Nothobranchius furzeri: one gene and its partner. The protein of the gene in region 2 interacts with the protein of the main gene of each other region in a pairwise test. Links are inferred from orthologs where the notes say so. Each region holds a gene or a part of one and is shown on either strand. Other genes may lie near its edges.

The links.
Region 1: the proteins of ciao1 (region 2) and ciao2b interact in binary tests that used the Homo sapiens proteins (3 or more experiments, as listed by UniProt). The two-hybrid records come from large-scale screens. The link is inferred for Nothobranchius furzeri from reciprocal best matches to the Homo sapiens genes CIAO1 and CIAO2B.

The regions. Positions count from the first base shown.
Region 1 is NC_091752.1:28,654,001-28,665,780, forward strand, and holds ciao2b (cytosolic iron-sulfur assembly component 2B), read right to left. Parts: upstream 8,261-11,780; 5' UTR 8,085-8,260; coding exon 7,958-8,084; intron 7,688-7,957; coding exon 7,608-7,687; intron 5,517-7,607; coding exon 5,391-5,516; intron 5,272-5,390; coding exon 5,226-5,271; intron 5,146-5,225; coding exon 5,045-5,145; 3' UTR 4,382-5,044; downstream 1-4,381.
Region 2 is NC_091757.1:37,104,039-37,115,877, forward strand, and holds ciao1 (probable cytosolic iron-sulfur protein assembly protein ciao1), read right to left. Parts: upstream 6,337-11,839; 5' UTR 6,100-6,336; coding exon 5,961-6,099; intron 5,834-5,960; coding exon 5,685-5,833; intron 5,601-5,684; coding exon 5,489-5,600; intron 5,412-5,488; coding exon 5,323-5,411; intron 5,247-5,322; coding exon 5,051-5,246; intron 4,971-5,050; coding exon 4,901-4,970; intron 4,832-4,900; coding exon 4,600-4,831; 3' UTR 4,400-4,599; downstream 1-4,399. Other genes in the region: snrnp200 (U5 small nuclear ribonucleoprotein 200 kDa helicase), read left to right, coding at 1-54, 146-324, 421-572, 648-756, 843-951, 1,034-1,223, 1,310-1,474, 1,563-1,684 and 6 more; tmem127 (transmembrane protein 127), read left to right, coding at 7,062-7,299, 7,396-7,560, 7,634-7,944; gatd3l (ES1 protein, mitochondrial), read left to right, coding at 9,528-9,644, 9,720-9,772, 9,856-9,969, 10,074-10,205, 10,296-10,388. UniProt on the Homo sapiens protein: Key component of the cytosolic iron-sulfur protein assembly (CIA) complex, a multiprotein complex that mediates the incorporation of iron-sulfur cluster into extramitochondrial Fe/S proteins.

The DNA of each region.
Region 1 (11,780 bases), on a different chromosome or scaffold from region 2:
TAGGTGTGGAACATGAAAGTGAGTGTAAACAAGTCGCTAATGTGATATCAGAGCACATTTGCTGAGGACATTGATGTTGCAGAACCGAAAACTTGGTTATTCACATCCACAAGCAAATGCTGCCAGAATTCGCAAATCTTCACTTTTGTGTAAATTCTTTTGAAAAAAATCATTTTTGGTGTCATTTACCCAGCCTGGCCTGCCAGACTCATCCTCTGTTTAATTCTGCACAGAGGAGTCTGGTAACTCACAGGCAGAGAAGCACATGAGGGGCGGGACTAGCCAGCTCAAAAATAACCAATCAGAAAAAAGACGGAAATGCAGACTGTACCGCGCAATGCTGTAGTTTTTTAGCTGTAGTCAAAAAAAAAGGTGTCTGGCAGCAGCGCAAACGTCTTTTAGTTTTTTTTTTTTAGAAGAAAGGCTTTTAGCGCTTCTACTTGTTGTGGTTTTAAGACATTCAAGTCATTTAGAACAGAGGAAAGAGCTGCAGCGAACTTCGCTTCAGTCGCCATGTTCGACAAACTCGGTGTTATGGTGTGTGATGTACGCTACTCAGCGCTGATTGGCTTGGTTAGAATTAACTTGGTTAGAATTCTCACAGGGTGGGGTATTTTAATAGGAGAGTTCCCAGACCCTTTCTCTGTGCAGAATTAAACAGAGGAGGAGTCTGGCAGGCCAGGCTAGCATTTACCTCGACTTTTTTGAGGATGGCAGACCAAATCGTACCCAGCTACGTGTGTACGGGGTCTTGGTTGACACCCTATCACATCGTTGTCTTACATTCCTTATGCTTTCAGTCTCACGGAAATTTAAAATATCTGGACTCTTTTCAAAATCTCAAGAGTGAAGCCCGGCAACTAATGCAAGGAAACGAAGAACACTGGTGAATGTTTTGAGATTTTTTGGAGACACAGTCATGAGATGCTTTTTGTTGTTGATAAAGCACAACCAACAATGAAACATAACAAGTGTGTTTTAAAGTAGCAACACAGGTTTAGAGAATTAAAGAAAGCAAAATCCACGTCTTTAACTTTTTGTTCATGCATTAATTGTATCGCGTTGTTGCAACGATAACCTTTTGGTTAATCAGTAACGTTCCAAAGAAAGGAATCTGTGTCCAGTACTCATATAATTGGAATTTAGACAGCTAAATGGAATGACAGAGATATTCCACTAATCAATTCCTATCAATACCTCAGAGGATTGAATTTTTTATATAATTTAGTGAGTTTAATTTTTTGTTTTTAATGCAACCATTTATAGCTGATATTTGAAAGATCCTCAAATGATCCAATAAAAAAAGTATCGTCCTATAAAGAGTTTTAACTCAACTGAGTCTAACAATGTCCCTGCTGTAATGTTTTTTAGACAGGTCCTTCATTCATAATCATAATAAATTTGCAGTGGTCTCTAGTAGGAATGAATGTAATGCAAGTCCTACTCTAGGGGAAAAAGCTCCAGTGCACAGAGGATTTAACCAGAGGAGAAAGTGGCTTTAGACAGCAGAATTTAAAGTCTTATTTTCTGATATTTGGACATCTCACTTCTGATAACAGCAACACCACTATGCCGCTGACTCTGCTTACCAACGTTGATGATTTATCTCCACAAAGAACACACGCCTGGAGGAATTCTGCTGTGTGGTGAAGTAGATAATGCTAACAGTTAGCTTCTAATAGCAGCTGCTGTTTCCTGGGTGCTAAACTAACAACAGCTTTCCCTGTCGCGAGTCAACATGAGTGAGTCCATGAATGTTAAGTGACAGTGTGATGTCACACTATCAGGCATCTCTGAACCGAGCGTTTTTCCATCTATTTTCTATCGGAAGCTAATGCGGGAAATAGGGGTAGAAGACAATTTTTGCATTCAGCCTGTATGAAACACTCAGAGTGGTCATTTTTAAAAATAAGTAAAAACTGGTTTCTCAGTGAACCTGCTCTTTATACGTGTGTGAAAAGGGTATTCGACTTGTCATTTTCCTATAATTATCAATTAGAATCCCTCTGATCAGCATACCACTGTCACTTGAGAATATTTTGTGGTTAGACACAAAACCTCAAGACTTTTTAATGTCCAGTTGAGGCTTAAATGTTCAATAGGTGGCAAAAAAGAATAAATAAATAAATAAATAAATAAATAAGAGAAGGGGAAGCAGAAATACAGAACTCATGGCTGCAAAACATCAGTTCACTCTGTTCAACTTTTCTTCAGTCTACAGGAACATCTAGCAAACACAAATATAAAACCGTTCCAGTTGAGGTGTCAGGTTCCCACCAAATCTAGCCTGGCCAGCCATGCCCATGCTTCCTTATCGTCCTTCATGTAGAATAGGCAGAGGGTGAGTCTGGCAGGCCAGGCTACACCAAATCAGCCTTGTTTATTTTAACTATACCTTATTTATTATTGTTCTGTAATCATTATAGATTGTTGCTCTGGTGAGGTTGTCTATAAATATGTAAGGTTTTATTCTACCACAAAGACAAAGTCACTTATGACATAACACACCTGTCTTTATTTAAAGTGGTGTGATGCAGAGAACATCTCATTGGATGCAGGACATCTGTTTTCCTATTTGATGCCACATCACCCATGAAGAGTTTACTTCTAATCAACTATAATGCATTAGCATCTTTCACATCCACCGCCAGCAGAAAGGAGAAGTTTGATACCACCAATTATAAGTGATCTTACAAGCCATACCAGCTGCAGAGGCTTCAAACTGGGTTAAAATATAAACAAACCAGCAAGCAGACCTGCTAAAATAATACTCTGCAGATATTCTGGCAATGAGAAAAAGCTCCCATTCATCTATTATGCGATTCGTTTAAATTCAGCTCTTTAAGACAACAAAATAAAAGCATAAACTTGAGTCATACGCAGCAAAAAGTGTCCTTTACACATGTGTACCCGGTGCATTTTTTAGCTGTTTTCAGGGGGGCGCGCGCGCGTGCGTGTGTAAAGCTGAAATATGTCACATTTGCAGCTCACAACTCAAAACACATGCTTGACCATTCGTGACGAGCCTCATCCTCCTAAACATGATTCGAGTTAAAATAGGGGGGAAATGGTCTTTTGTTTAAATCACATTTTATGGGGAAGAAAATGGCCCACTGTTACCAAAGCCGCTGCCATATCACGGTGAACGTCTAACCGACCAAATTCTTCTTAAGTCGGTGAAATAAACAAGCCATTACTGCTGGAATCATTCCCAGCTGCTTTCAAGAACTTGTCAAGAACTTGTTTCAGCTTTTTAACCCCCAACAGGACTCTCATGGTTTCCGCTTCACGGGAACTACTTTCCCACAGCCGACAACAAAACCAACACTAGACCAAAAGTAAATGAAACGTTTGTTAGCGTACCTCGGAGAGTAAGGAATGCAGTTAAGAGCCAAAAAGATGTCCCATCGACCGTCAATATCCTGCGGTTCGTGATGAAGAGCTGCGCAGCCAATCCTGAAGTCTACAGAGCAGAAGCAGAGAAGGCGGTCTCACCGAGATCACCGAAGAAACAGGGCTGGACCAGGTTTTTTAGTGGGGTTTTTTTTTTTTTTTTTTGAGAGAGGGAGGAATAAAAAAAACGTAAATTTAGTCTAACAAAAATCCACGATGAGCTTTATTTCTGCCACTAAACAATAATGATTAAAAAATACTCATTGGATTTGATTACTTCCGGTCACGCAACGTTCCGACTTTTATTTTGATGCCACTGGTTCCAGCTGGTACCATATCCGGTACTTCAGCTGTGATGCAATTTTCCAGATGTGGAACCGTGTGGAACGAGGGAAGAAAGGGGAGGGGGGAGGAAAAAGCCACAGTGACACTTTGTTTTGTTGCAATGCGTCGTGTGCCAAGTTGTTACAGAACCGCACCATAATAGGCGCCGGGCTGTCAAGATGGCAATCAAATCAGGGCTTCAACATTTACCTCCAGCTTCAACTCAAACTGTCATTGTAAAAAGAAAAACTTTACATCTTATTTTGGCACTGCCTGTCACGTTTGTCATTGCCAACAAACTGGATCTAATGAAAAATTGTTCACTGATGCGTAGTAAATTTTGACGGGAAGAGGGCGACATCTAGTGGACATTTCAAACATTACATATTTTCCCTTTCAATTAAAAACAGTTTTATAGTTAGAAAGTAAGTTTGAAAGCAATGTGTGACGATTATACTGAAAATATACATTGGTATTAAAACAAATGCATTATTATGGATTTATAAGTTTGTGATATTAACTTAAAAAGACACATTTTTTTGTTACAACATTCAGATTTGCTTGTCGGTTTTCCACTCTTCTAAAGCCAATATTTCACTGAGTTGTAACTGTTTGCGACCAACGGCCATGAAAAAGTACAAAAACCACAGGAAAGACATCAAACTGAGACTGATCAGTGACTTCCACTTTAATGTGTCTGCAATTGTATTGAACTTGAAATGCCAGGTTTTATTTTAGTCGCAACACAAATTCTGAGGCCTTCACCTCCTTGGAAAATCGTCTGATTTTTTGCCCTTTCTGATGGCGGATTCCTAGCAAATATCGTATCTTCCACCACCCTGATAACTTTATGACGGTGCTCCTGGCAGTAAACTAATTCAACATTTATAAATAATGTGTAATTGATTTGTTCTAATAAATGCATGTAGCTGATAAATATTTTGTTACTAAAAAAATACAAACCCATTTTCTGTGTAAACCTAAATTAATTTGTTTTCTAATTAAATACAAAGTTTGAATTAAAAAATGTATTTGACTACTAATGAAAACATTTATTAAAACTTACAAAGCACTATTTACAAGTGACAAAGCAATTCTGCAGGTTTGATGCATCTATTTAAAATAAACTTCACTTTTCTGATACATTTACCATCACTTTATGTTCCAATTATTCAAATTTATTCAACTATTCAGGCTTTTATGCAACCCAGACTGCTGTTTTGCTGCTGGAAATGCAACTGCAGCTCCAGATGACAGACAGATGCAAGTAACTGAAATGTCACACTGTTCAGAGTCTCACAGGAGGAAAAAAAACAGGACAGGCTGTTCAGATGTTCCTGCTGGACAGGCACTGGTTGACCACCTCCAGCAGAGACGAGTTCTCCAGAGCTGCGGCCACTCGCTCTTTATCTGCAAGCTGCTTGTTCACTGAATGTGCAAAAACATTTAGTAAGTTAAAAAACACGAATAAAGTACTAACAGTTAAGGTGAATGTGTGATGTTCCTACCTGCTTCCTCTGAGGCGTGAGTCCCTGGAGTTATGTGAACATCAATCTGAGTGAGAAAAGAAAAACAAAAATATTAGACAAACATTTATACTGGAAAAGCAACTATCAGCCCCCCCCCCCCCCCCCCCCCCCCACACACACACACACACACACACACACACATACTTTAAACCTGTCTGGCAGGGAGCGCAGAAGCTTGACTTTGATCGACAGTCCGATGAGCGTTGCCATGCTGCAGTGTGGTATGGTGGGTGTAAACTCAACACCTACCGTGCTTTCTGCATCATTGACCTATTTAAAAAATGACAAAAGCACAAAAAGTAGTCATTAGATTTTTCTGAGCAGCAAACCTGGGCTTAACTATTGAAATCTTGTCAATAAGTAGACTGATTTTACGCCTGTGCTCTAATACGTTTGTTGACCTGCAAATATGTGTTGTTTTATAAAAAGCTCAGCCAAAAATAAATACAACTGCAATCTGAACCTTCTTCGCCCCCTGGTGAGGTCTTCATTGACTCTTCTGCAGCTCACCTACCAGCCAGGTATTAGGAGCGATGCCACCGTCCACTGAGCTGTGGCCCAGCCGGAGCAGCCTGGAAGCACTGTGAGGACCAGGCTTACTGATTTCTTCAGTGCTTTTAACACCATTCAGCAGTGAACTCGGACATAAGCTGGAGCTTCGACACATTTGTATTATCTTCTTTAAAATGTTTATTTAGCTTGATATGTTTGCTAGTATACAAGGCCTGAAAACACTATTAAATCATTTTGACAATTACATTTGGCAAATTCAAATGTCAATATTTTACCTCCAGGAGATGATTCGTGCCTTTATCAGCATGACAATTGACTACTGTAATGTTCTTCATGTTAGTTTCCTACAGCCGTCCATGAAAATGCTTCATTTGGTCAAAAAATCAGCCACTCACCTTTTAAAAGACACCTCAAGATGTGCGCCCATAGCTCTGGTTTTATTTTCCCTCCACTCGCTTCTGTTTGTTTTGGGAAAGATTTTAAACTTTTGTTTGTTTTAAAGCTCTTAATTGTTTGGCCCCACCTTACGTCTCAGATTAACCGAGTGTCCGTGTCAGATCGCTGAGGTCTTCATCTCCATTTCTCCTCAAACTTCCAAGAACTACATTTAATCACTGGGGTGACTGAGCTCTCGGTTGTGTCGCCCTGGAACCAGCTACCTTTAGATTTACGTGTGGTCACTGACCTGAGCCATTTTCTATCCAAACTTAAAACTTTATTAATCAAAAAGGCTTTTAGCACTTTGTAGCATTGTGTTATTCTAGTTTATTCCTCACTTTCTACTAAGGGGGTGCAGCAATTGCAGTTTTTGGCTGACCACCGATCTTGAGAAAAATCTGTCAGTTCCTTAAGACTTTCATTTTTCTAATTTTGAAAACAAAACTTTTGACACACTTGTCCAAATAATTTTTTTATATCAATGATTTGCTTTAACATTAACAAGGGGGGAACCAATTGCAGTTTACGGTCGATCCTCGATCTTGAAAAAAAACCCGAGATCAGGGCCAATAGATCGATGCACCTCCACTTTTTACTGATTCTGTCTCTTTGTTCATTGTTTTTCATTTGAACAACACTTTGATGATCTGGACATATAACCTTTAATGTACTATATAAATCCAATAAATGAAACTGATATTTTACACGGAATTTGGGACAAATGTCAGTAGCGTAAAAGGACCAAAGTGTCAAACTTCGACTTGATCCCTAACCTATTTAAAAAAATATGGAGAACTTGTGAGTGGAAGACGTCTGATATTGGTTTTTCCATTGCCGATACCGATGTGTAGGAGATATGACCAGCCGATAATGGCCGATATTTGTTTTGGGCTAATTTTATATACACATTTTCCACTTAATGATAAAATGTCACTAATAACATCAACTGATGCACACAATTCTTAAGCTGAATCAGTTTTTGAACACTGAATTTAACTAACTATTAAATCTTAATTTTGTGCTCTGGTCAGTGTTAAAGTCAGACATCTAAATAAAGTTAATCAAACAAATTTATGAATTGACCAAATATTAAATATTCAAAGCTGGTAAATTATAGTTGAGAAATAGTGAGAATTTATTATGCAGATGTTATTCAGGAAGTAAAAAAGTATTTTAAATTAAATTATGCAACAGCACCAAGCTGCCCTAAGATGTGCCTGCCTTAATCAGTTTAACTAATACGTTTTATAGGCTGACGCCGATATATTTATAGGTAAATATCGCCCAGCTATATCAGTTTATCCCTACTGGTGAGCACATTAGTTTTGCTCACATTTATCCCACCATATTAAATTTCCTTTTTTGTTTGGTTTTACAATTAATAAATTAGACTCAAATGAGAGGACATACCTTGACTCGAACTTGTTCCACCACATTGAGTTCCTCAAGAGACAAAGGATGTTCTGGATCATTGATGGATCGGATCAGATGTAACTTCAGTTAAAGAATTATTTAAAATATATAATAAACAGCTTTTCTCTTTGATGTGTAATCGATGCAGTTGTAGATAATAATATAAGCCACTCTAAACATAATGTATGTCTCCCGTACTTCAGTGGTCAGGCTTTTATTTTAATTCGCTAGATTTCTCTACGTTTTCCTAAGGAAATGTACCATTTAATCATCTGAGTAAAATAAACGTTTCTTTGCGCCTCTCAGTAGTTAAATTAGCCTAAACCAGAGAAAGGGATCGAGGATATCGAATATTTCTCTGTCGTCGATGAGGTCGTGAACGTCTTCATCCTCTTCGGACGCAGTCAGCGGCCTGTCCCTGCAGCGCTGGAAGATCACGGGGTTTGCGTTTTCCATCTGGACCCCTCGGGACATTTTAAAGTATGATTTAGCCCAAAATAAACTTAAAAAAACACTCCCAATCTGAAAAACTTCTCTAGAGCTCCAGTGGTTTACTTCCGGGATAAACGGGAAATGACGTGTGACGTCATGAACTTCTTAAAGAAACAGCGCTCATCCAGTGAGAAAAACACCCTGAAACAAACCAATAAAATAAAGGCTGGAATTCTGCTAAAAGTCGTAGATTTAAACGTTTGCTTCGAAAAACACCCGACCAAGTTAAAATATGTATTTTCTATAGTAATAAGAATTTTAAATAAATGCAACAAATGTAACTGTCACTTTTTAATTGATAATTTTGGTGGATTAATGTCCTACCAGTAAGAAAAGTTAAATAATGAAAGACACATTCTTTGAAAAATTTTCAAATAATCAAACGCACCCTGATTGTTGATATCAATTAAGCCTCATCATGATAAATATGAACGTTATTCTGATTAAATATGCCGGTGAAGGTTCTCAGTGATCCAGGTCATGGGTTTAAATGAAGGCAACTGGACTTCTTTGGATTCTTGAAGACGTTTCGCTTCTCATCCGAGGAGCTTTTTCAATTCTAACTGAAATATGGGAGAGTCAACTGTATGAATGCTGTACTAAAGCAAACCAAACAAGTCCGGACATATTATTTTAAATTGTTGAATATTTTGCAGGAATAAACTTAAAGGAAAGGATTACAGAGTCAGGAGCTTTCTTTTCTTGTCTTTATTGAACACACGCCAAAAGAAACAACTTATCTGAAGTGCAACAACCTCTATGGTTTCTATTTTGTTAAATAAAGTTTTTAAACAGCCTCTTTTCCTTGAGGATCACTTTTAACATAGAACTTGCACCCCATCTTGTGGCATAAAAACGTATCACACATTGCTACATGATACAAATAATTCATCTCAGAACCTTAACGTGTTTGGACCATCGACATAAATAGGTTTGGACCGACAAGACAAGACAAGACAGCTTTATTTATATAACACATTTCCCACACAGAGGCAACTCAAGGTGCTTTACAGCAGTAAGAACAGACAAAACACACAAGCACAAAAATGAACTATGGAATTAGATATACTAAAACTAGAAGACTAACATAATAAAAAATTGAGAAAAGAACTAAATGTGGTCAGCTGAAGGTGTCAGGAGACTAAAACTAAGGCAGTAAAACTGCTACAGTGTACTATAGACAAACATTGTTGAAAACCAACAGAATTTCAATGCTTTAAGTAGAAAAGAGGGCTAACCAGGAATTACAATCACCTACAAAAAATACATTAACAAAGGGTTGCAGCGGATTACTAAAACTTAGAGTATTGAGGCAGACCCAAACTAAAGCAGTGAAACTGGTACAATGAACTACAGGAAACATTGATGAGTTAAAGTAGAAAATTAACAGAAATTCTACACTATGAGTATTTCTGTTACCAAAATGTTTAAAGTATGTTTAGTGGCTTCTTTTTTTTTTTTTTTACAACATGCCTTCTTTTCTGAATCATGTACACAAATCAGGTTAGCATTGCATGTGTGTGAGTGTGTGTGTTTGCTATCTAAATTGTTGTCAGTGCATCTTCTCTAATTTAGATTTTATTGTCCTTAAACACACCCTCACACATTTTTTGCAAGCTGCCCCTGTGAATAAGCAGAAATAAATTCTTCTTTTGCACCTGATGGAATATTCTGCCAACATACAACATCAGTAAAACAATTCTTGCAATATTATTTACATGCATTTAAATTTTGTCACAATCTGCTGAATACCAGATGCTGTATTTTTTTTCAGAACTGAGCCGTAGGAAAAATAAACATCTGCAATAAAAAAAAAAGAAAAGAAATTTGATGAAATCCATATAAAAGAACACGTGAGACAAACTCAGCCCACAACAGTATATTAGGATTATCAGGTCCTGCATGGTCACCAGGCCTGGCTTAAAATCTGACACTCAATTAATTTCATCTCTGGACTTGTTTATTTCTTCTAATGAGCTGTAGAAGTAAAGCGAAATGAGGAAGATCAGCAATTGTGAAAAAAACTTTACCATGACACGTGCACCTGTTAGGGGAAAAATGTGTAGATAATGAGATAACGTACCACAGAAGACACCTGTGACACTTCACAAAAGAAAAGAAAAGTTGTATAAGGGCAGCAATGGAGGAATTAGGCAAAATACTGTAACAATACGAACATCTGACATTGTGATTGATTATTCCAGTCAGTGATTCAGTTTCATTAAGTTAAATATGAAAACTATTGTTACAACCATGTTTGGGGTTTTAAATGAAGGACGAGCCGTAATACTTAGGCATGTGCAGGTTGGTAAAATGCAAGCATTTATTATAAATAAGCATTTTAATAACAAGAAAAACAACCCAAACTCTAGAGTGATGAACAGGAAACTGGGAAACCTTTGACAGTTCAAAGATCAGGACACTTTGACCTGTTAAGAGTTAAAATCCAAAACTAATTCTCAAATCTGCCTCTGAAATCATTGTCAGACAAATAGACAGTGTGGGTTAGATAACGTTCTTTGTCCCCTGTTGTGTACTGTGTGCTGTCATCCTGTAGATCCAAATAAAAAATTACCTACTTTGAGCTGCTTGTGCTGCTGAGTCCAGAGAAGCTCACCTGATGTGCTTTGAATGAGTCTCCAAAGGTGTTGACAGGCAGAGCACAACCTGGGATATATAGTCAGGTCCATAAATATTGGGACATTGACACAATGCTAACATTTTTGGCTCTATACACCACCGCAATGGATATCAAATGAAACGATCAAGATGTGCTTTAACTGCAGACTGTCAGCTTTTATTTGAGGGTATTTACATCCAAATCAGGTGAACGGTGTAGGAATTACAACAGTTTGCATATGTGCCTCCCCCTTGTTAAGGGACCAAAAGTAATGGGACAGAAGAAGAACCATAAATCAAACTTATACTTTTCAATACTTGGTAGCAAATCCTTTGCAGTCAAATACAGCCTGAGGTCTGGAACACATAGACATCACCAGATGTTGGGTTTCATCCCTGGTGATGCTCTGCCAGGCTTCTACTGCAACAGTCTTCAGTTCCTGCTTGTTCCTGGGGCATTTACCCTTCAGTTTTGTCTTCAGCAAGTGAAATGCATGCTCAATTGGATTCAGGTCAGGTGATTGACTTGGCCATTGCAAAACCATCCACTTCTTTCCCTTCAAAAACTCTTTGGTTGCTTTTGCAGTATGCTTGGGTCATTGTCCATCTGCACTGTGAAGCGCCGTCCAATGAGTTCTGAGGCATTTGGCTGAATATGAGCAGATAATATTTCCCGAAACACTTCAGATTTCATCGTGCTGCTTTTGTCAGCAGTCACATCATCAATAAATACAAGAGAACCAGTTCCACTGGCAGCCATACATGCCCACGCCATGACACTTCCAGCACCATGAGTCACTGATGAGGTGGTATGCTTAGGATCTCCATACTCTTCTCTTCCCATCACTCTGGTACAAGTTGGTCTTGGTCTCATCTGTCCATAGGATGTTGTTCCAGAACTGTGAAGGCTTTTTTAGATGTTGTTTGGCAAACTCTAATCTGGCCTTCCTGTTTTTGGGGCTCACCAATGGTTTACATCTTGTGGTGAACCCTCTGTATTCACACTGGTGGAGTCTTCTCCTGATTGTTGACTTTGACACAGATACACCTACCTCCTGG
Region 2 (11,839 bases):
ACGTTCAACTTCCACCCCAATGTCAGACCTGTTCCTCTTGAGCTGCACATCCAGGTCTGAAAAGCTTTTGCACAAATTTTACCATTGGAAAGAACTATTTAAACACCTTCCAGATTCCTGACTTCCTGTCGCCTTGTTGCTGCAGGGTTTCAACGTCAGCCACACTCAGACTCGCCTGCTGTCCATGGCCAAACCGGTGTACCACGCCATCATGAGGCACTCTCCCTCCAAGCCAGTGCTGGTGTTTGTCCCGTCCCGCAGGCAGACCCGCCTCACCGCCATCGACATCCTCACTTTCTGTGCTGCTGATGTTGTTCCTCAGAGGTCAGTCACAGCCATAGACTGTACGGTCACAGCTCATCAGTCTTTGATCTTGAGATTATTCTACTTGGTGTTCTGAAAAATTCTTGGTCTTATCAGGTTTTTGCATTGTAACGAAAAAGACTTGACTCCGTTCCTTGAGAAGATAAACGACGGGACTCTTAAAGAGACTCTGGCCAACGGCGTGGGATACCTGCATGAGGGCCTCTCTGCAACTGAATGCAAAATCGTGGAGCAGCTTTTCAACTCGGGTATGAATTTTATTTTACACCTGGGTCGCTCAGAGCTGAGAAACAAACCAGAAAAGGGGTTTCTTTCTTGTACAGGTGCCATTCAGGTGGTGGTGTCTTCACGTTCGCTCTGCTGGGGCATCAGCGTTTCTGCACACCTCGTCATCGTCATGGATACCCAATACTACAATGGAAAAATCCATGCGTAAGGATTTAAGTTGACTTGAAAAAATGTCTACAATAATGAATTTAATGTGCTGTTTTGATGACACGTTCTCTCATTTCTCTCAGATATGTGGACTATCCCATATATGATGTTCTCCAGATGGTGGGAAAGGCAAACAGACCCATGCTGGATGATGAGGGACGCTGTGTCATCATGTGTCAGGGCTCCAAGAAGGTGCGAACATGCGTTGGTTTTGTTTTAAAAGCAATTACTGTAAAAATACTTGAACTAAACAGGTTATCTGTTTTTGTTGTAGGACTTCTTCAAGAAGTTCCTGTACGAGCCCCTGCCAGTGGAGTCTCACTTGGATCACTGTCTTCATGACCACTTTAACGCTGAGATCGTCACCAAGACGGTGGAGAACAAGCAGGACGCCGTGGACTACCTGACGTGGACGTTCCTCTACCGCCGTATGACGCAGAACCCCAACTACTACAACCTGCAGGGTTAGCATCCTTTAAGGCAGAGACCACATCACACTTGACCAGACCAGGCTTAGGGGTTTCTTGTTGAGTCTTATGTTCTGTGGCAGGCATGTCCCATCGCCACCTGTCTGACCACCTGTCTGAGCTGGTGGAGAACACGTTACATGACCTGGAGCAGTCCAAGTGCATCAGCATCGAGGACGAGATGGATGTTGCACCCCTCAATCTGGGCATGATCGCAGCTTATTACTACATAAACTACACCACCATTGGTTTGTAGCTACACTCACCTCTCTATGGGGTTTATGTTGCTTCCTGGACCTCAGACTTCACAGCAAAGTTTTTGTTGTTGTTCAACAGAGTTATTCAGCATGTCCCTGAATGCCAAGACCAAGAGTCGAGGATTAATTGAAATCATCTCTAACGCAGCTGAATATAAGAACATTCCCATCAGGCACCACGAGGACATGCTCCTCCGACAGGTAAACACACCGACACAAGTCCACGTTAGAGTAGCGTCTTTTGCCGCTTACACTTTAGGGTCAGTACGGTTGTGGGAGGATAGCGTCAGTTGGGTCTCATACGGGCAGTGTAGTGTTCCCGAAGGAGTTCTCGAGAATGCAGAAATCCCCGAGCACGTGGGCGGCGTTTAAAATGCGCTGGTGGTGTCCTTCTTATTAAGATAAGCAAAGGCAGGTGTGAGCTGTGTTGCTTTTGGAGACACCGAAGCACATTCTTTTATTAATGTGCTCCCTGTTCTCTCACTGCTGTGCATGTCCTCAAATTCCACTCACACACACACGCTCGCTGCTCTCTCCATCCATTGAGCAGCTGTAGCAAGAGCTTCATGCAGAGATGTTCGCTGCTCAGAGGACATACACGACTCTCTCTTCCGGGAGCTCTGTGCTACAGACTGAGATGTTTACTCAACAACATCCAGGATGTTCATGCGTAAACCCCCTGCTGGCTGATTCTACTTGAGGCAGTAGATGATCATTTCAGTCAGCCAATCAGTCCGTAGTGTCACCTCGGTCCCAGTCGGTCCTTTGAGAAAGAGGTCTGAAAAAAAGAGGTACCTCAGAACAGAAAACTCATAAGTGGCCCAAGTGTGGGGCTGGGCGGTATGACCTAAAATCAGTATCACAATATATTGAGGATTTCACCTCGATAACGATAAATGAACGATAACTACATGTATGTGCAGAAACAAAAGTTGTCCACTACATGGGGCTGTCACATGTTTTACGTTGAGTCACATATTTACGTGACTCAAGGTGGTACCGCTTCTTAAAGGGACATTAACATTGCCAACCTATACACATCTTTTCTTTTTTTATTATCAAATTTATTGATATGGGAAAAATTCTGTCAGAAATTTCAATAACGATAAATTGGGTTAGGCCCAGCCCTACCCAGGTGTGAAACCAAATTCCGGTCTGGTACTGACCCAGTGTGTAGGTGCCTTTTGTGCTGCAACATCTTTAACTTTGAGCTGCTTTTTCCTTCAGCTGGCACAGAAAGTGCCCCACAAACTGAACAATCCGAAGTTCAACGACCCCCATGTGAAGACAAACCTTTTGCTGCAAGCTCACCTATCCAGGATGCAGCTGAGTGCTGAGCTCCAGTCGGACACCGAAGACATCCTCAGCAAGGTTCAGATCCCTGAATACTATGTTTTGCTGTGACTCAGCCACGTTTCTGTATTTGATCCCAGCGTGTTTTATGTGACGAGAGCGTTTGTTTGTAGGCGATCCGTCTGATTCAGGCCTGCGTCGACGTGTTGTCCAGTAACGGCTGGCTGAGTCCCGCTCTAGCCGCTATGGAGCTGGCCCAGATGGTCACCCAGGCCATGTGGTCCAAGGACTCGTATCTGAAGCAGCTGCCTCACTTTACCTCCGAACACATCAAGCGTTGTACTGACAAGGTTAGTTGGTATTAACATTTGGTTATGAATGAAGCAAACGTAGATGAAAACATCCCTTGTTGCTCTCTTTAGGGTGTGGACAGTATCTTTGACATAATGGAAATGGAGGATGAGGACAGATCCGGTCTGCTGCAGCTGTCAGACAGCCAGATGGCTGATGTGGCTCGCTTCTGTAACCGTTACCCCAACATCGAGCTGTCCTATGAAGTAGCAGAGAGGGACAATGTCAAAAGGTTTGTGTTTCTCAGCAGATTTATTTATGTAAGCTTTGAAAGCATAATTAAGTTTTACGGTTGAGGATCAATTTAATCGATTAACATCGGTTAACATTGTGAACTTGTTTTTCTTAGCGGCAGTTCAGTTCTGGTTCAGGTGCAGCTGGAGCGAGAGGAGGAGGTGACTGGTCCGGTTATTGCGCCACTCTTCCCTCAGGTTTGTTCCGTCATTCACCAAAGATCCCGTTTGTTTCAGCGGTGTGTAAAAGTGGATCGTGGTGACGTGTTCTTGTTGTTGCAGAAACGTGAGGAGGGCTGGTGGGTCGTTATTGGAGACCCCAAGTCTAACAGCCTCATCTCCATCAAGAGGCTGACTCTTCAGCAGAAAGCAAAGGTCGGTGTAATACAGCAGAAATGTTCTCCCCTTCCCAGTAGAAGGCCTCATTTCCTGTTTTCTTCTGTACTTCCTCCACAGGTGAAGCTGGACTTTGTTGCACCTGCAGTGGGCGTTCACCACTACACCCTGTACTTCATGAGTGATGCGTACATGGGTTGTGACCAGGAGTACAAGTTCAGTGTGGATGTGAAGGAGGCCGACAGCGAGGGAGAAAGTGACTCAGACTAAGTTTTACTGAATACTGTGTTGTCTCCATTTGAGAGGGAATCAATGGGTGTGTTGTAGATATTCAACCTGATTTGTTTCTTTGAATTTAAACTTCTCACTTTTGCCCAAAGTATGTCAGTTTTTTTTAGTGACCCGATTGATGAAACAGTCCAAAATTGGTGTGCAGGATCTGTTTTCCGTATTAAAAATGAAATGCATGTTTTGGATTCAGCTGGATCCACTGACAATACTGCTTTAAATATGGGAAGCATAATTTTGTACTTTTCTTGTCAGGTTTGCTTTTTAAAATAAAAGATGCAACAATTTGGTTTCAGATTATGTCTAAAGTTACATTGCAGATGTAAAATGGTTTTCCCTAGATTAGTAAACATGTTTTTAAGAATCTATTGTCTGGCATGTTCTTTTCTTTTTATTAAAATGAAACCACACAGTCTTGTGTTTTTGTATTTATTCATAAACATGTTTGATTAAGCCATTTTTAAAAAGTGTACAAGATGAGCTGCAGCGGTTTTCCGATCACAAAAATTAAAACGAGATTAATCAAGCCATGAAATAACAGATGTGGTGCCTTAAAGATAAAGTTCCCAGTATGAGATCTAAAACCAAAAGCACTTCGGTGCATTTGTCACTGAATCAGTCTTCTTTGAACCTCCAAATGGCAAGTTCTCCATTGTCGCTGCAGGAGGCAAGAATTCCAGCTTCTTTCGGGTTCCAGGAAGCACAGTTAACGTCCTGGTTGTGAGCTTTGGTTACCTGAGCAACCAGCGAGAATACAGGTTCTTCTGGATTAGAGGTCACGTCCTCTCTGAAAACTCGAACTGCGTCGTCACCGCAGGCAGTTGCCAGGGCGCCAGTCAGCGGACACCTGAACAAATGGTGTTTAAGTCAGTTTGAAGGTAATTCATTCAGATCACTGATAGAAGTTCAGTCTTACCAGGACACATCATACACTGTTCGTCCATGATACCCAGACAGAGTGCAAACACACTTCCAGGACGTGTCACCTTTCAACATACAGAGCAGGTAAAAAAAAGGATTTGTTTGTAAATAAATGGCTTCGGTGTTACTGTTCATAACTACTGACCACTCTCAGAGGGATATTCTTTCCAAATCTTCACAGTGCGATCATCGCTGCAGGACGCCATCCTCTGTCCAGTTGCATCAAAGCACAAACTCCAGACGGTGGAGGTGTGTCCTTCCAAAGTAGCGCGACATTCCCAGTCATCGTCTTCTTCCTTGTAAATACAAATGTTGTTGTCGTAGCTGGCCGAAGCCAGGAGCTGAGGAAACAGACAATAACCTCAAAAATGAGAATGGAGCTACAGATGGAGATAATGTCTACAGATCTGAGTCTACCTCTCGGGTCGGGTGCCACGCTACATGCTTAACATCTTGTGTGTGAGAGTTTAGAACTGTGACACACTCATACTCATCTTCTTCATCCACTGTGGGACAGAGGGAAAACACCTATTAACCAGATCTGATCAAATTGTATTTATTACATGTGTAAATAAACACAAACCTTCCCAGATCCAAACGCTTTTGTCTCGACTGCATGTGGCCAGGAGGTTCCCTGATGGAGCCCACGCCACACATTTGACCTCATTTTCATGTCCCTCCAACACTGTCAAACTCTATAAAGACATTTACAAATGTGTCAAGTTCACGGTTAAATGCTTTTTTAATCACACCACTGAACAACAGAGGTCTCATCTAACCTCAAAACCCTCGTTATTCTTCTTCCAGATGCATGTAGTTGCATCAAAGCTGGCAGAGGCCAAATAATTTCCACATGGAGACCAGGCCACTTTCCTCACGGTGCGCTGGTGTCCATCCTCCAGCACACTCTTACAAACCCAGGAGTCTCCTACGGATAGAGGGGGTCACCGAGGTCAATAGATTAATTATTTTACCAACAGATAACTAATAATCAGAGTGTGTGTGTGTGTGTGTGTGTGTGTGTGTGTAAGAGAGAGAAAGAGATGACAGGCTACCTTCGCGTCCCCAGATCCGGATGGCCTTGTCCCCGCCACACGAAGCCAGCAGAGTCCCGTTTGGGCTCCAAGCGACAAACCAACACCGAGAGTCCGGGTGTGCGCTGAGCCTGTGAAGCAGCGTGAGAGTCTCCTTCATACTGACTTAATGACTATTAAATATTTAGTTAACAGGTCTCGTCACTTTTGTCTTTTCCTTCCCAGAAAAATCCGATAAGAAACTCAAACAAAACCCATCAAAGCAGCAGAGCCACTATCACTATTAACATATTTTGAGAAGATAAGGAATTAACTTGCAATAAAGAGCAAATTAAAGAAGTTCATAGAAACATCCACAACTGACGTGCCGCCATCTTTGCTTATCGGAAGTGCACACTGTGGGCTTCCGTCTTCCTTTAAAAACAAACTTAAATATATTTTTTTTAAATAAACGGAAACAAATTCAGTTGTCGTAATAAAATATATAATTATTCATAAAAAAAGCGAGATTTATGTATAAGATTTAAAGTCTATGGTAAATGCAGAGAAGTTTTCATCGTTGTGTAGTTTTTTTAACCGGTAGGTGGGGCTAGTGATCACAGGTTCTACTGTAGCTACGACGAAACCCGGTGGAAACAGGAAGTCAATGCTTTAGAGGAAACCAGCGTAAGCTGTCTTTTGTTTTGTTTTCTGTTTGTTTTTCTGTAACTAAAACAATATATTTTTATTTATTGTTGTTGTAAAGATTGGGTTCTAGGTTGGCGTTTATATGTTTTTTTTGTATTCGTTTTAATCCTGTCATAAGAATTTATTATATTTGACGTTTACTGCGAATTAGCTAATCGGGCTAACAGTACAGCTAACAGGCCTGAAGGCCATCTGTCTTTTGTTTCCTCGTCAGCCAGATCCTGTTTTTTTATCGAGCAGCTGGTTCTCGTACGGAAGTATTGTATATCTTTCATCTAACAAGTCGCCTGGACCGCTATCATCCTTTAACACTACAGGTAAAATCAGCTGTACCGACTGACAGCTGTGTCAGGCGGCTAATCCCAGTTATAAACCTTAAGGAAAAGGACAGACAAGGGAACCAACACTTCCTACAAAAACAGAGATTTGGTAATCATGTATGCTCCGCCGGGCTCTACCGTACCTGGTGGCCGGAGAAGAAGAACTGCCACCTCCCTGCCCAAGCAGCCGGAGCGCAGCCTGGTGTCAGCGCTGCCCGGAGCTTTGTCCATCACAGCGCTGTGTACGGCTCTGGCTGAGCCGGCCTGGGTGCGTGTTCATGGGGGCGCCTGTCCCAGGCAGGAGCTGGGGGTTGCGGATGTCTTGGGTTACATTGATCCAAAGCTTCTAGATGGTGAGAACCTGCACAATTACTTTACAACCAGCAATTATCGATCATTGTTTTGACTCGTAATGGTTTTTGTTTGTTTTGACGTTTCTGTATCCTCAGATTACTGTGTGAACCCGCAGACCATCCTGCTGTTGAGGGTCATAGCTGCCTTTTGTTTCCTGGGCATCCTATGCAGTCTAACTGCTTTTCTGTTAGATGTGTTTGGACCGAAACACCCTGCCCTAAAGATCACTCGTAGATATGCATTTGCCCATATACTCACAGGTACAAACCTTTCATTTACACACAAAACATTTTGCATATTTACCTGTGCTAACAGACTTCCTTTTCCTTCTAGTGTTGCAGTGTGCCACAGTCATAGGCTTTTGCTACTGGGCCTCAGAGCTGATCTTGTCCCTTCAGCAGCAGCACAAGAAGTACCACGGTTCACTTATATATGTCACTTTTGCTATCAGCTTCTACCTGGTGGCAGGTGCGGGTGGAGCATCCATCCTCGCCACAGCTGCAAACCTTCTTCGCCACTACCCCACTGAAGAGGAAGAGCAGGCCTTAGAGCTGCTCTCTGAGATGGAGGATAGCAGTGAGAATTTCCCTGCTGATTATGACATTGCTAATCAGTTTCAACCACCACCTGCCTACACACCCTAATCCAACCAGACTTGCCTTTGCATACACATTTCTCTCTCAGCTCAGCTTTTTGCTCGATGTGCAAAACCACACTCTTTAAGCAAACGGATACTGCTGCAGATTTTCTTGGCATTAAACACAGCGTGTGCACATTAGTGCACAGCTTCCTTGAATAACAGTGCTTGGGTGCATGGAATCTTTCTTTAGTGGTGACAGCAGTTTAGGAGATATTTCTTACTTTCCCCACTGAAGTGGTTAGTGATTTGCATGTAAATGGCTTTTAGGATCTGGTCCTTACATGTAAAGATAAATTAACTGCAGAGAGTATTAAACTGCTCATAAGAAGAAATTGGGGGGTAGCCACAGCCTGATCAGTGCTTTTGTTGAAACAAACTTTCAGCACGTTGTCAGTGGTTGCAGTTACAGGGCTATGATGGGGCTTTGTTAAAACAACACAGCATTTTAATTTGATACATCATAAATGCTGATGTACACGTACACTGACAAGATTGTTTTAAATGTTTATTTTATATAAAAAAGCAAATGGACCTTATTTATTGTGTGTGCTGTCTTCTATCTTTTGCTTTGCAGACATTAGTCACTAACATAGTCTTCTCTGTTCACCTCTGTATTAGAAACAATAAGGACATTTCCAAAAATGTGAGGCGGGCCTTTGGCGTTTTTAAAAAATGTCTTTGGCTGTGTTGTGAGTCAGGTGAAGAGAGAGGGTGTTCTGCTACAGCAACAAACCTCACATCCTAATTTGGTTGTGTTATGTTTATTGTATTTTATTAAAAATAAACCTTGTTTGTACCTTGTGAATACCATACATGACAAGTTCAGTAAATGTCTTCTGTTTACGGGTTGTGGTGGATGCACATTTGAAAATAATCAGCTAGAATCTCATCACAAGGTTCTTCCTGAGGCTTAAACGTGTGGCTGGTGTGATGATTGTAGTTGATTGCACTTTGTTTTATCATTTTCTACATTTTGTTCCTCACTGTGCTCTCCTCACTGATGTGTAAATAGCGATTGTTTCTACATAAAGTGGCCATAATAAAATAAATGCCATATTTTGCTTCTTGCTGCTCATCTATAACTACATTTTGACTCCTGCTAAACGGAATGTGCAGTTTTACTATAAATGTTAGTTTTCTTTCTGTCAAAGGTATTTCTGGATTACTGTCTAGACTCAACACGGCATTACAGAGAGTAAGAGTCTTACAACCTAATGGACTTTAAAGGGCATATGGCATACTACTATGCCTGCATAATGGTGTTGAACAGTTTCCCAACCAATGCGACTCATCAAGTGCCAAATTCCTAACGAGTTAAGATATTGAGGCTAAAGTTTTGCCCTGTGGCCAAATGCTTTAAGGTAATCAGAATTAAAGAGGTATTAATAGGGAAGGGTGTTCAGGAAGGGAACAAGTCAAGACGTGAAAAGACAATGGAGCTAATGTGGGAGCGTCATTTGACCGCACGTATTTATACAGATGTCCTCAGAGAGGTAAATGTCTGTGCCGTCAGAGGTCTTCACAGGCTCGGTTGCAAACTCTTCACTTACACTTTTTCTTCTCAAAAAGTGAGACTTGATCATAGACATGCTGGCAACCAGGACTTTGCTGTCAAAACAGACACTGGCAATTCTCTCTCGCCAGCCAGCCTGCTTTGTTCACCACGGTGACCATGGCACCTGGGGGAACACCAATGTTGCAGTGGTAAGTTTGACTCCTTGTTACACGACCCATGAAAAGAGGAGAACTGTTCTGATTTTGTGCATCAATGTATTCTAGGTTTTCTCAGGATGTGGATGGTGGGATGGAACTGATGTCCATGAAGGAGTGTAGTGAGTATCAGGACATCAGGGATTTTGTTTTACATTTGTATAAATGCGTAATTTTACAGAAATGGTGACAAATTTCTCCTCAGCACCATGTACCACCTGAGCCGAAACGGAGCTCGTTTCCAGATGTTTGCTCCGAATCAGCAGCAGATGCATGTGATGGATCACATGAAAAAGCAGCCGTTCTCAGGGGAGAACCGGTAGGAATCTCACACTGGGCTGAGGAGACCGTTGATTACATTTTGCACGTAAAGCCGAATGACCTGACCTAACCCCCATCACATGTTAACACATTTGTAATCAGGAACATGATGATGGAGTCGGCTCGCTTCAGTCACGGTCAGGGAAAGATGCAAATGCAGGACCTGTCCGTTCTGGATGTCAACAGCTTTGATGCTGTCATCTTTCCTGGAGGTCATGGGATCATCAAGAACCTGTGAGGAGTTTTCAAATGTAAAAAATAATTGTGTTTATTTTATATATATACATATAATGTGCCACTAACTGCAAAATTCCTGACCTTTAGATCATCTTTTATGAAGGATGGCAAAGACTGTAAGCTGCACAATGACGTAGAACGAGTTCTTAAAGATTTCCACCATTCACGCAAGCCCATTGGGTACGTATCATTTGGTCATTGTACCAAATATCAGCATTAAGATTAACAGAAGTGCTAAAAATGTGCTCGAAATGAACCTTTTTCACTCAAACACGGGTCTGCTCTTGACATTTTTATTTGTTTTGATGACACCTTAACTACAGGTGAACACAGAAGCTTTAATTAATCCTCATAATAGAATTAGGCCATGAGAGGCTGTGAGAAATCACACTAAATGATTAATGATATTATCATAATCACGAGTAAAATCATGTATGTTGTAGATTTAATCAATGGCCAGATCTTGTTGTTTTATGCAGCATTTATTTTTAAAGAAATAATAGAAAGATAAAAGGACCATTAGCCCAACTGCTGCCCCCCAAGTTTGTTGAGCCAATTAAAGAAGCTTACTCTAGTATAACAAAACCTAAAGCATCTCAACACCTTTTTGTTTACACATGGAAAATCTGATTTATCTTCCACCAAATAGATATTAAAGATGGCTTTGCTTGGCAGCTGATACTGTTTGTTTATAAAGAGCTTCATAAACTGTCAGATCAGCTGTTGCCTTTTTGAAGCTGCAAGGTTAAATTCCTCATATTGGCTCTTTCTGAGCGTAGCAGACAACAAGTAGGACAGAAGTAGTAAAAATAGCCTTTAGTGCTTTTAAGCTCATCCTGGGCAACTTGAAAGCAGACAAATCCTTTAAGGCAGGCTGGGCAAAACAAAAACTCCTACACAAACGGTCCAACCTAATGAGATCTGCTACAAAATGACTGGTCTTAGCCGGATGGATGAGGTGATGAGCAGTCACCGTGGCGACCTGTGACAAGGTCAGGTGAAAGGGCACAGGGTGAAAGGTGAAGAATAGAGGATTCCGGGTAGAAGGAGGTGTGGGATTACAGGAATTACAGGGAAGAGTGGAGCAGGATGCTGAGGAGGGGATCGCCATGACAACAGAAGGTTAAAGTGTATGCTGACTTCTTGCTTACATCCCAAGATTAATCCCTTTTGCTGTTAATGCCAAGAAAGAGGAGGAGTCAATTGACGTTTTGAAGGAGAAAGTTAGTGATGAAACAATTTAGAAGAATGACAAACTCCTTCACCTGTAGGAACAACGCCAGTAAAAAGGTGTCGAAATTCTCTAACTATTTCTTTATTACCATACCAACTTTATTTGTATAGCACTTGAAACACCCGCAGGACCAAAGCGCTGTAGACAGAACAAATAAAAACAACAGTCAACAATAAAACCCTAGAACGTAGAGTAATAAAACAACCAAAGAGTTAACACAATAAGCTGAGCAGACTACAATTTGGTTGAATCAAAGTAAAATGCATTTAAATAATAGTAAAAATGATCTAAAACTAGTTAAAAGTCAACATCTCAGGTAGTGTCAAAGGCCAGAGAGAAGAGGTGGGTTTTGACAGTGAAGAGGCTTGTTTGATATTTAAAGCAAGCTCATTCCACA